Linked DNA regions of Bombyx mori. The protein of the gene in region 1 purifies or fractionates together with the protein of each later gene. This does not show direct contact. Links are inferred from orthologs where the notes say so. Each region holds a gene or a part of one and is shown on either strand. Other genes may lie near its edges.

Evidence for each region. Proteins that work in one complex are often made in the same cells at the same time.
Region 2: the proteins of splicing factor 3A subunit 3 (region 1) and Phf5a purify together in Homo sapiens (affinity purification with mass spectrometry; 3 studies listed by BioGRID and IntAct, with this or other methods). This does not show direct contact. The link is inferred for Bombyx mori from reciprocal best matches to the Homo sapiens genes SF3A3 and PHF5A.

What each region holds. Positions count from the first base shown.
Region 1 is NC_085112.1:8,789,725-8,796,338, reverse strand, and holds the end of splicing factor 3A subunit 3, read left to right. Parts: intron 1-327; coding exon 328-400; intron 401-517; coding exon 518-609; intron 610-786; coding exon 787-1,008; intron 1,009-1,159; coding exon 1,160-1,320; intron 1,321-1,522; coding exon 1,523-1,648; intron 1,649-2,111; coding exon 2,112-2,304; intron 2,305-5,433; coding exon 5,434-5,635; intron 5,636-5,890; coding exon 5,891-6,024; 3' UTR 6,025-6,082; downstream 6,083-6,614. UniProt on the Homo sapiens protein: Component of the 17S U2 SnRNP complex of the spliceosome, a large ribonucleoprotein complex that removes introns from transcribed pre-mRNAs.
Region 2 is NC_085114.1:14,382,473-14,389,054, reverse strand, and holds Phf5a (PHD-finger 5A), read left to right. Parts: upstream 1-3,194; 5' UTR 3,195-3,249; coding exon 3,250-3,301; intron 3,302-3,375; coding exon 3,376-3,566; intron 3,567-4,009; coding exon 4,010-4,099; 3' UTR 4,100-4,716; downstream 4,717-6,582. Other genes in the region: ATP-dependent RNA helicase DDX47, read right to left, coding at 1,369-1,627, 1,798-1,917.

The DNA.
Region 1 (6,614 bases):
TAAATTTTGCATAATAATTTGATTAATAAACCATTTTTTTATATTTTGATTTAATTCATGTTTATGTGGGATGTGTGGGATACAAGCATCCTGACTCCCTTGCCAGAATGCAGCCAGTTGTTTAATTTTGCTAGCTGTCTCGAGGAGTGACACTTGATTGGGATCCAGAAAATAAATACATGAATGTAAAAGCGATGAGTAAGACAGGTTAAGGATCTATTTAAATTTTATGGGTCAGATTAGCACCCTAACATTTTTCATAAACACCTTCATCAGTACCCAATATATTTAAAATTTATTTCATATGCATGATGTATTCTGTTGTAGATATCTGTACCCATGTCTGTAGAATTTGAAGAGTTGGCAAATCAAAGGGAAAATCCTGCTGAGGATTACACAGGTATTTGTTGGAAATATTAAATATTTTTTGTACATATTGTCATCATTGTTGTTTTCAACAGAAGTTATGTTATTTTATTATTAATTGTATTAGAAAAAAATAATTATAAATTTTCAGTTCCTGTCGAGTTCACTGATGAAGAAGGCTATGGAAAGTATTTGGACCTACATTCGTGTTATGAAAAGTACATTAACTTGAAAGGTATTGAGGCAAGTATTTCATTGTTTTATATAATAAAAGTTATATAAATTATACAGTACAATGTGAATGTTCATATAGTTTATTTGGAACATATTTATATATAGTCATATATAGTCATTTAAAAGCCAGCATGTTGATTGTAGGATTTTAAGACCAAACCAAAAAGACTAGTATTTTTGTTACAGAAAGTAGATTATATTACATACTTGAGCATATTTGATCATCTCTTTGACATACCTCGTGAAAGGAAGAATAGTGAATACAGGAATTACATTCGTGCATTGCTCACTTATATGAAAGATTTTGTGTCCAGAGTTAAACCTCTTTTGGATCAGGCTCAAGAAATGGCTCTAGGGCATCAGGAGTTTTTAAAACAATGGGAGTCTGGTACATTTCCAGGATGGCCTGTAAGTATGAAATTATAAAAATATAATTGTGTACTTCATTTTATGAAAATAATTTTGTTTAGTATTATTATATATTGAATTGAAATTAAATTTTGAAAATAAATTTAGAAAATGATTAGTACTGGTAACATTGACATTTAAATTCTTGTAGAAAGAAACTGGTGGAGCTTTAACAAATGTGGGGGCGCATTTAGATCTGTCGGCTTTTTCATCATGGGAAGAGTTGGCGTCTCTTGGCCTGGACAGATTAAAATCAGCTCTTATGGCTCTCGGCTTAAAATGTGGTGGAACTTTGGAAGAAAGAGCACAGAGGTGAGTATTATATTAGCTTTTTTTTCGTAAGTTTACAACATTGTAACTATACTGAGACCTTAAAACTCATATCTCAAGGTGGGTGGCCGTATTTACGTTATAGATGTCTATGGGCTCCGGTAACTACTTCACAGCAGGTCGGCTTTGAGCTCGTCCTCTTATCAATACTATAAAAAAACATTTAATATTTTTTTTATTCTAGGTTGTTTAGCACTAAAGGTCAAACAGCCCTTGACAAGTCTCTTGTTGCGAAAAAGGGAAATAAGGCAAAGGCTACCACACAACAAAGACAAAAAGACATTGCTGCAATTGAAGCACAGGTTTATAGGTAAGTAGATTATTGTAGAATATATTATTCAATTACCAAACAATAAAGAATCAATATCCAAATCAATATTCAAAATAGTGTTGGTTACTAATTTTATAATTTACTAACTAAAACATCTAAGCAACATGCAAGGAATATAGTTTTTAGACTGCAGAGTGAAAACTGATAGATTTAGAAAGCAACTTCTTTGTGCAAGCGAGGCTGGAGTGGAGCAACGGTAGAGCTAATATAATGAAAAGTTGTACCAGAACAGTACTAGAAGGTTTATCTCTAACTCTAGGCATGTAAATAGGATACTAGGACTAATAGTAGAGTAGGATACAAATGCAATTGATATTGATTTGGTTAGCCATGAGGAAAAGCTTAATGTGTATACAAGACAGGATAATACATTAAGTGTAGGCTTTCTTTGCCCTAAAAAGAAACTAACATAAGAAGGTGTTATTTTGATTGAATTCCATAGGTTCGCGACTATAATAAGTAGTACACGAGCATCAACTATTGAAAATGTAACGCGTCGTGCTGCAAGAGCTGCTGGTGAACGTCGCGACGAAAGCGGTGACGAAAGTGATGCTTCTGCAGCACCAGACCTTGATTCAGATGATGATGAAGTGCCATATAATCCTAAGAATTTGCCACTGGGATGGGATGGAAAGGTGAGTTTTAGATTATTATTTGCTAAAGTTGTGAAAAACAGTTCGAATGTAAACATTACTCATGTATTAGTAAATAACAGGCTGATGGGGCAAGACATCGCGTCTATTCATATCAAATTATGCAACTATGACTGGGGTTGAGGTTCAAATGTTCTGATTTGTTTCATGTTTTATAAATAAATATGCATTGAATACATATGCATGAACTTCTTTGAAACCTCATAATTATTAACTGCATAATTCTGCAACAGAATTAGAAAGTAAATATGCAGGCGAAATTTTATAAATACCTAGTCAGGTCATAAGTATTGTCACACAGTAAAAACTTTTATTTTAGAATGCTGGCCACAAAAAAGTTTATTGAATTCGAATTTCGATTTGTTCATGAAAATAAAAATGTATACTTTTAGAATTTTACTCATTTTTAAATATGGAGTGGACGCTTAAAGAAGACCGTGTTGCAGTTATTGCGTTGCATCGTTGCGGTTACGCGCCAATTCAAATTTTTAACATACTGAAAAATTTGAATATAACCAAAAGATTCGTTTATCGTACCATCAAACGATACAATGAAGACTCTAGTGTAGATGACAGGTCAAGAAGTGGTCGCCCTCGGTCTGTTAGGACTCCAGCAGTGATAAAAGCTGTGAAGGCGCGAATTCAAAGAAATCCCAAACGTAAGTAGAAACTGTTGGCCCTTCAGATGGGGTTAAGCAGAACCACGGTGAAAAGGGTGTTAAATGAAGACTTAGGGCTTCGGGCATTGGGAGGCCATGGCCAGGTTTTGTGACCTGGTAATGGCGTCCCGTGACGCTGAGGAGCGTGAAAGGGAGTGGGATCCCTCTTCAGCACCTCAGCGCAGAAGGCGGGATGGCCGGCGCGGGCGTGAAGCTCCCGCTCAGCCCCCGTAGGGACTATCAGGTGGCGGGTGCGGGGGCGCCCGGTACTCGACTGTCGGTCCGGTGGTGGAGCGGTGCAAGGTGGCTCCTGTGCGCCGCCCACGGTGTATCTCCCGAAATGACGTCCTTCGGGATTTTCCCGGATATGAAATCCCGTCTTATCATCAGGACGGATACCGGCGAAGGCAGACTTTCGGCGCGCACTGCGGTACCGTATGTCTGGTGTAGCCGGTGTGGTGGAGCTCGATGGGGTTTAGTCGGTAGTCGTTCTGCGGGGCAAGTGCTTCGCGCGCCTTTTTCAAGGCGTAGTCTCTTGCGAGAAATTCGGGGAGGTGGAGGACCTTCTCGTCCCCCTCTTCCTCTCAGGAGGCGCCGGAGTCCGACATAACCCGGTTCGTTACCCCCCCGGACCGGGTATCCGTAAATGGATTCCCCAGCGTTAAAAAAAAAAAAAAAAAAGGGCTTCGGGCATATCGAAGAAAAACAGGACATCGTTTGAATGCTCGTCTAATGGACCTGAGACTGAAGAGATGCCGCGCTTTGTTGAAGCGGTACGCAGGAAAAAAATATCGGGAAATTCTTTTTTCGGATGAAAAAATTTTTACCGTAGAAGAGAGCTACAACAAACAAAATGATAAGGTGTACGCACACAGTAGTGAAGAAGCGAGCAACCGTATTCCGCGTATCCAACGAGGTCATTTTCCATCCTCGCTCATGGTATGGTTGGGAGTTTCTTATTGGGGCTTAACAGAGGTACATTTTTGTGAGAAAAGTGTAAAAACGAATGCAGTTGTGTATCAAAATACAGTCCTGACGAACCTTGTGGAACCTGTTTCTCATACCATGTTCAATAACAGGCACTGGGTATTCCAACAAGATTCGGCGCCAGCTCATAGAGCGAAGAGCACACAAGACTGGCTGGCGGCGCGTGAAATCGACTTCATCCGGCACGAAGACTGGCCCTCCTCCAGTCCAGATTTGAATCCGTTAGATTACAAGATATGGCAACACTTGGAGGAAAAGGCGTGCTCAAAGCCTCATCCCAATTTGGAGTCACTCAAGACATCCTTGATTAAGGCAGCCGCCGATATTGACATGGACCTCGTTCGTGCTGCGATAGACGACTGGCCGCGCAGATTGAAGGCCTGTATTCAAAATCACGGAGGTCAATTTGAATAAACTTTAGTGTCATAAGAATCTATGTTTTGTTAAGTTCATTTTGGTATATGAATGGTTACATAATGAATAAATTGTTTCAATTATTTTACATTAAACATGTGACAGAATTTATGACCTGACTAGGTATGTATGTATACAAATAGACATTAATAAGATCGCATAAACGGTAGATGCTGAAATATTTTGGCCAAATGTAATTACAGTATAATTTCACTAATTCAGTACTGTTAAAAACTGTTAAAAACCAGAGGGTGCTGGATTAATGGAATGTTCGGTTAAATCTGGATTATAGAGAAAAAATCATTTTTTTTTTTTTTTATTGCCCCTGTAGGCAGATGAGCATACGGCCCACCTGATGGTGAGTGGTTACCGTCGCTCATGGACTTCAGCAATGCCAGGGGCAGAGCCAAGCTGCTGCCTACCGCTTAATACTCTCCACAAGCCTCGTTTGAAGAAGGACATGTCATAGCGCTCGGGAAACACCGTGGAGGGGAGCTCATTCCATAGCCGGATGGTACGTGGCAAAAAAGATCTCTGGAAACGCACTGCCTTGCTTAACAACCTCTTCTCGCATGTTTAGAAGAATTATAACAATACCTTTGGCAGAAATGACGCTTTCTTCTGCCCATGTCATGCAGGTATTGAAACAATTAAATGCTTCATCTGGTTTAACTCTTACAGTTGTATTTAAAGGTTTCTTCTTCTTGTACTACTTCGCATATTTCTACATCTGTCATAATTTGCTCTGTTTCTTCGATCCCTTCTTCACTCAACTCAACTTCAATCCTCTTTCTGATAGATTTTGTAATCAATCGGCAATAGATAGAATATCACTTCAGGATCTCATTCTCCTGTTTCTTCTGTTTCTGATGCATTACATACGCATAAGCGTAGAGGGGCGAGGGAGGCGTGGACGGAGAGTGCCAGATTATTGGACATGTCAGTCTAGTGAAGTGCCGGATCAGTGAGAATATACTGTAAAAGATTCCAAAACAAGATATAAATAATTTTTACATATTCCATAATAATAAATGTAAGAATGGTATTTCAGCCTATTCCATATTGGTTATACAAGTTACACGGTCTCAATATAAGCTACAATTGCGAAATTTGCGGGAACTATACATACAAGGGACCGAAAGCGTTTCAGAGACATTTTGCGGAGTGGAGACACGCTCACGGAATGCGATGTCTTGGAATACCGAATACAGCTCATTTTGCCAATGTCACACAAATTGAAGATGCCCTTGCTTGTAAGTTAACGTTCTTAATTTGTTTCACAACTTTTTGTACACATCAAATTTAGCTGTATTTCTTGCCTTCTCAACTGTACTAAGGCTTATTTCTACAATTCGGCATTTGCTTTTGATAAACTTCATCATTTAAGCACCTCCGAAAAACAACAGTGTTAAAATTTATTCCTATAGTCATTATATTATTATTATAGTAAATACCAAATGAAAAAATAATTATTAAAGGTTGTTTTAAAAACACATACTTACTTTCAGTGTGGGAGAAAATTAAACAACAGAAAGAAACTGAACGTTTCGTGGCAGAGAATGATGAAGAATTTGAAGATTCTCAAGGCAATGTTGTAAATCGTAAGACTTTCGAAGATTTAAAACGCCAAGGACTTCTATAAGGAGTTTTTTCATGGTTCTTATTTTTATGATTCGTATGAAATAAATATTTCGTGTATAGATGTTGTTAGCTTTATTTTAAAATAAAATTTGCAATCTGTATGAACTTTGCGCCAAAGCTTTAGAGCCTTTACTGATTTGTGTTGTTCTACTCCGTCATCATAGTAGTCCTTTAGTTCCGTTCCGTGTTTAAATCGATACCCCATATCTGTAAAGAAAATATTATGTACTTTTATTCATTAAGGAATCTTTATCTAGACTTGAATTCCTTGATTGAATTGGAATTTGGCACCAATTATTTAAAACTTATGGCCTCAGTGTATAGATTTTGTTTTTACGTATATTTTATCTTGTATTGTCTTGAGGGCTGGGTGGACAAGCCACCCAAAGTTTCGAACATTATTGTCTTTTTTGTTTAGACCACGACCCCAAAAGGTGCTATACTTGAACGGACGGATGAGTGGACGAGCTCACAGTCCACCTGGTGTTAAGTAGTTACCGGAGCCCATAGACGTCTATAACGTAAATGCCGCCCCTTACCTTGAGATATGAGTTATAAGGACTCAGTATAGTTACAATGGGTTACAACGGC
Region 2 (6,582 bases), on another chromosome or scaffold:
TAACCACTTATCACTAAGTTTTTTTTTTTTATATGATTGAAGGGTTACTGGTAGGAGTGGGTGATATAAATCGTATATAGATTCAATATCTATATATCGCAGCAATATCGTTGAATCCGATATCGCCCCGCACGAAATCTATATATCGATATCAGCCGATACACGATATTGCTCGATGTGATGCGCATCGCCATATCGTACCGATTCGTGAATCGAAATCTATATTTCGATATCAGCCGATACACGATATTGCTCGATGTGATGCGCATCGGCATATCGTACTCTTTAATATCAGCAATATTCGTTTGGTTCGTATCGAATCGGCCAGAGTGAGTGAGCGCACGATAGGGATATCATGTGATGAATGAAACAGAAACAGGCATTATCCATACAATTGTAAACCTTATATTTAAGCCCATATGTCTGTAGATTATTCTTAGCGTATCAGCAGGATACAATTAAGGAAAGAAGTTTCAACTTTCGACCCTAACTTGAATGCAGTATAGCCTATTTGCATCGTTGAATTTAATTTCACGCGCTTTGACCTTGAACTAGAATTTTTGGACAAGTGTTTATAAATACTTAAAAAATTTTTGTGTTTGATTTTTAAAGTACACATTTTTCTATTTTTAGTTGAATCCAAATAATTGAGTTTATTTCTTGTGTTTGTATTAAACTTTTGAAATCTACACGCTTTTGGTATATTTTGTAATTTTAAATTAAGACACAAAATACTAAAAACTGAAAATAATGTAGCCAGTCCTAAGCCTGGTAAAAGCATGAAGGAAAGTTTTTTTGATATTTTTATTTTCATGTTCTTTTTATTACTTTAAGATCATATTATAAATTGATATCAGAAAACCAACCGTATAACGTTGACTTAAATCTATATCTACTACGATATTATATCAGCGTATCGTTTCAAATCTCAAATATCATGAATGGAGAAAATCTACTAGCATCCATCAATATATAGATTCAGAAAATATATAGATTCAATATCCGATATTGATCCTCGATATATAGATACGATTCGATACGCGGCAAAACCGATATTACCCACTCCTAGTTACTGGTGGCCCTGAGAGGTCTTTCCAGTTTCACCAGGACAGGTGGGCGAGCAAAGGCTCAGCCAGGAGGGGTGGGATTTGGTGGGATAGGTAGGGACTAGATTAGGGATCTCAAAAGCAGCTGCTGCGCGAAGGAATCTCTATAATGAATCACTAAGTGTGCTATAAGCTAATTAATGAGTTACTCAACTACAACAATAATAAACACAATCAATTTCCTCATATTTACATACATATTCTGTTATTGCTGTTTGCTCTTGATAAATGAACAAATTGTAATTTAACTTTATTATCTTACCAAGTGCTTCAAATTGTTCTGATATCTGAAATGCCAGTTCCCTTGTTGGTGTGAGTATAAGTGCAAAATATCTCTGCGGGTTCTCCAGTAGTGCTTGAAGTATGGGCAGGGCAAAGGCACCTGTCTTACCAGAACCTGTCTCGGCAAGACCAATGATATCTTTGCCTAGTAACGCGACGGGAATAGCTTCTTTTTGAATCTTAGAGGGTTTCTTCCATTTCAATTCTTCACAAGCCTCGCAGAGTACGTCTACAACTCCCTGTGGTTAAATGCAAATATAATCTTATGTTAATAACCTCAAAAAGTGTTATTTTTATTCAACGTTGAAGCAATTTAGTAAATCTAAGGCACCATTTGATATTAAAATCAATAAAATTATATTACAGTATTTACTTAGTATTACAAACACAGTTTAATGTAAAAACTTACCAAATCCTTAAATGTTATTTTATCATCTTCAGTATCTTCGTTGACATTTTCGGTTGGAGTTTGTTCCACCTCACTATCCTGGTTGGTTTCGTCTCCATAGCTTTCCTTGTCTGCAGTCATTTTCTCTAAATTATCATTGTTTTGGGGAATACAAAAAAGACGCGAATATTGAAAGCATGTGTTTGAATTAGGGGTATGCTGATTTCTGATTTCTGATTTCTGAATCTATCACATATAATATGTGACGTATGTGTCACCAAAGAAGTAAAACTGTCAAAAGTATACTTGACAATTAAGACCGATCGCAAACCGGCAATTAGACTTTTTGGTGGGAACGCGAGGAGTGAAGTTGTGTGATTTGTTTTATTTTGTCTATTTAGTGTTTCTTCAGGTTTAAATGTGTAATAACGGTGGTTTATTAACTGTTTAATATCTGTGACAGTGCACAAATGTGGGAAAATGAAACAAAGCCACTGGACGTAACTTCTCGGGATCCTCCAAAAAGTCCACTGAAAAAATCTCAGTAAATGACCACCATTTTACTGAGATTATATTTCATCCCATATCATCTCATCTCATTTCATTTAATTTCATCCCAGTTGATTGTTGTCTCAAATTAATCATCTTCATTTCATTTCATATTATCGTTTTCCATAAAAATACCCCATATTATATCATCTCATCTCATTTCATTTTATGCCATGTTTCATAAATTAATACACTTCATTTCATAGTATCATATTTCATAAAATAAAAAAAAATATATAAAAGGTTAGGCTGTATGCTATGATACCTTTGCCTTTCCATTTGGAAAAATGAAACTACTACTACTACTTATCTATGGTGCCAAATTATAGGACATGGCTTCGGCCTTAATGAAATTTTTATTTCAGGATATGAGTCGTCTATTATCAAAGGTGGCAATCTGTGCATTTGGACAAAAAAAAATTATTGATATGTCAATACAGATTGTTTTGAATATAATCGTCTCCTTCAAAGAATACGGTTCAAAACCTGCATTAAATAAAGGTTAATAGTTAACCTGTTATTTATCTAAGATGTCGTTCCGAAGAGTTTTGTGACTGCCAATGGAATACAAAGTCAATAATTCGTTTTTTCTGATTTACCAATCATTGTCCAAAAGTCAGATTGCCGGCTTTGATAATAGTCGACTCATATAATTTAAATCCTATAAGACCTGGCTTTGGCTTTATTATAAATTTATATCAGAAATTATATAGAACAAATGAGGCGGTATGGGCTTAGATCCCTTTGCCTTTCCTAATAAGGAAAAATTGTAACAAAAAAATATATCTATGGTGCCACTTGTCAAAATTACCGGGTCAAAATCGTCAAAATCTTTGTAGGTTATTCGATAAAAAAACAGTAAACGGCAAGTTTGATAATAACAATCAAAGAACATTCGCCAGCAGACCAGACCTAACTAAAAACATGGCAAAGCATCATCCAGATTTAATTTTCTGCAGGAAACAGCCCGGAGTCGGTTAGTAGTATTAAAAAATGGAAGACAACCAAGTTTAGTGTCGCTTGTTTTAATGCTATTTCTTATTTTTCCAGCTATTGGACGTTTATGTGAGAAATGTGACGGAAAATGTGTGATTTGCGATTCTTATGTGCGTCCGTGCACGTTGGTTCGTATTTGTGACGAGTGCAACTATGGCTCGTATCAGGGGCGATGTGTGATTTGCGGCGGGCCTGGAGTATCTGATGCTTATTATTGTAAGGAGTGCACGATACAGGAGAAGGATGTAAGTTTTAATTTTGTAATTTTTGAACTCAAATAATCGCATCGAAATCATTAATTTAAATTTCCTCAAATCAAAAAACATCGTTATATTTTGATAGTTTAAAAACTCACAAGAAACTAGTCAACCTGACTTGATCAAGTGACCTGATAATGATTGTGTGCGTCCCCAATATCATGTACATTAAGCCAAGCCTAATAAAATGTATAGCCAAAAGGATTGTGGCATTGAAGTGGCATTGGGCAGGACACATTGCTCGTAGAACAGATGGCCATTGGGGCCAGAAAGTTCTTGAGTGGCGACCGCGTATCGGAAGACGTAGCGTGGGTAGGCCTCCCACAAGATGGACCGATGGACGATGGCAGTGGACGTCTGTGCGCTGATAACAATAATAATAATAATAATAATACATATTATTATGCTAATAAAATTGTTATTTTTCACAGAGAGATGGCTGTCCAAAGATTGTCAATTTGGGAAGCTCTAAAACAGATCTGTTCTACGAGAGAAAGAAATATGGGTTTAGGAGACACTAGCATTAGGTTTCTTTTTAGTTTTTAAATATTAATTTCTGCAAAGTTTCTGTTATTTAAAATAATAAAAACAGAGGTTTTTCTCAACTAAAGTTTGATTGAAATACAAGTTTGTTTTTATCAACTACTTTGTTGTTGACTTTTTAAAGCCAACGGCTATTATGATCAAGTATGGTTTTCAATGTCTAAAGAGTTGCAGCTCGGGTCCAAGAGAAATTCACATATATTTTTTTAAATTCATTCATTTATACAATTGGATTGTTGTTATCGATGATATCTGTTATTTTTTTACAATTTTTTTTATCCTTTGTTTATTCAATGCAGATTAGTTTTCATTTTCCAACTAGAAAGAAAATACTTGAAAAATACATTTAGTTTTTGCATTTAAATTATTAAGATTCATTTTTATTTTTTATTTTTCTACTAAATTGTCAATAAAGATATTTTTGACTACCATGTGCTCTGTAAAACTACAGACAATATGTTAGCAATATTCATGTATGTAATGAGAGTGATTGTACTGTGTGAATGTTGTCTGTCATATTTTGAAAACTATGTTTCTAGTGTGTACTTACATTAAGACATTATGTAATTATTAATAAATGCATTGGTATTACACATTTAATGGCCCTACACTACCATTTTCTCCTTCGTCATGGGTCTGGGAAACAACCAAACATAACTAAGTAATTTCTAATCAAATATCTTTTGACTATCCGGGAATTACACATACCTGGACTATATTATATCTTTATATATATATATTTCTTATGTGCGTGTGTGTGTCACTGAACTCCTCCTTAACGGCTGTGCTGATTTGAATGATTGTGTTTGTATGCATTTGGGTGGCACCCTGGATGGTTTAGATTCACAAATCAACCCAGCAGAGGGCGCTGCAGTCGGTATCTAGGTTATTTATCTTTCCTAGAAATAATTTATATGGTAAAACAACATTTGCCAGCTAGTAGTATTATATAGTACTAGTCAGTAACACTATATAATTACACAATGAATTAGGTGGTCAAGCAAATATTTTAAAGTTATGGTATTGAATGAGAAAACTATTATATCGAGGGGTGAAGGGGGCTATTTGGTTTAAGCGACATTTTTGCAACTACAGGAGAGCCATTTAAACTAAAGTAACATTTGGAAAAAATATAATAACAAAAAACTTCTTCAACTATTTGAATGGGGTAAACTTAATTGAAGTTTAACTAAAAACATCGAATTGTTGGTACTAATAATAAATTAAATGAACCTTTAATTACGAAAATTAATTTCGGTTAAACCAAATAGTTTTCACCCCTCTCTCTATATACTGTAAAAACGGAGACTTAGAACTCATACCTCAAGGTGGGTGGTGGCACTTACGTTGTAGATGTCTATGGGCTCTGGTAACCACTTAACACCATGTTCGCCGTGAGCTCGTCCACCCATCGAAGTAAAAAAAAAAATGTCTGAAAAGACTGGGTTATAAATATAAAAGCTTTTTCAAATAAAAAAGACTTGGAAATCTAAACTGGTTTTTATTTCACTCAAACGTAAATCTAAGCCACCAATTACAAAAATAAAACTTACGACATTTTTTGTTAAATTCAAAGCTTTATTTGAAACTAACCGAAACAGATATGGCTTACTGTTTTATAAATATAGACATTGTTTTACAGACACCATATTCATCATCATCATGCTTTCCTATTACCCTCTGCTGGGGTGTAGGGCTCGAATCAAATTTTTCCATTTGTATCGGTCTTGGGCAGTCTGTTCTAGCTCCTCCCACGTCATGCCCAAGACCCCTAGCTCCTGCTCCACCGAGCGACGCCAAGTTGTTCTGGGGCGGCCTCTCTTCCTTTTACCAGACACTTTCCAGGTCAGTGCTTTGACACCATATTACATAACAATTAATATACAATAAAGATGAAAAGTAATAATTCATCTCTTCTAATTTCTGCCATCTCATATTAGAAACATCAATAGAGAAATGGCTACTGGTCAGATTAATCAAAATAGCCTTAAACAGAACAAAAACAACCTCTATGTTATTTAGGGGCCAAATTAAAAGACTAGCTAACTAGATCATGAACTAATTCACAACGACTATCCAAATCTGACTTCAGGTGTCGTGATCATTACCTTGTGAAATTTTAGAAATATTATTTAACCCTTTCGAGTATACGCCGTCGATAGATCGACTCTCTATTAATGCGTAAAAATTGCGGAGCGTCGGAATACCGACTATTGCGCAGTTTGATTATAGATATTAGGTATGTACCTATTGCGGACGTATCTTAGAGCGTCCATGTAAAAAGTTTTTAATAAGTCAATAACATTTATAAATAACAATTTAAAAATACTTTACTGTGAATTTATCATTGATTTATGTATTATTTTTTTTACTTATGATTTTTTATGGTACTTTTTTTCAAATTTATTTTATAAATTTTTGCAATATGTGAAAATAAGCTCAACACTAAAAGGGTTAATAA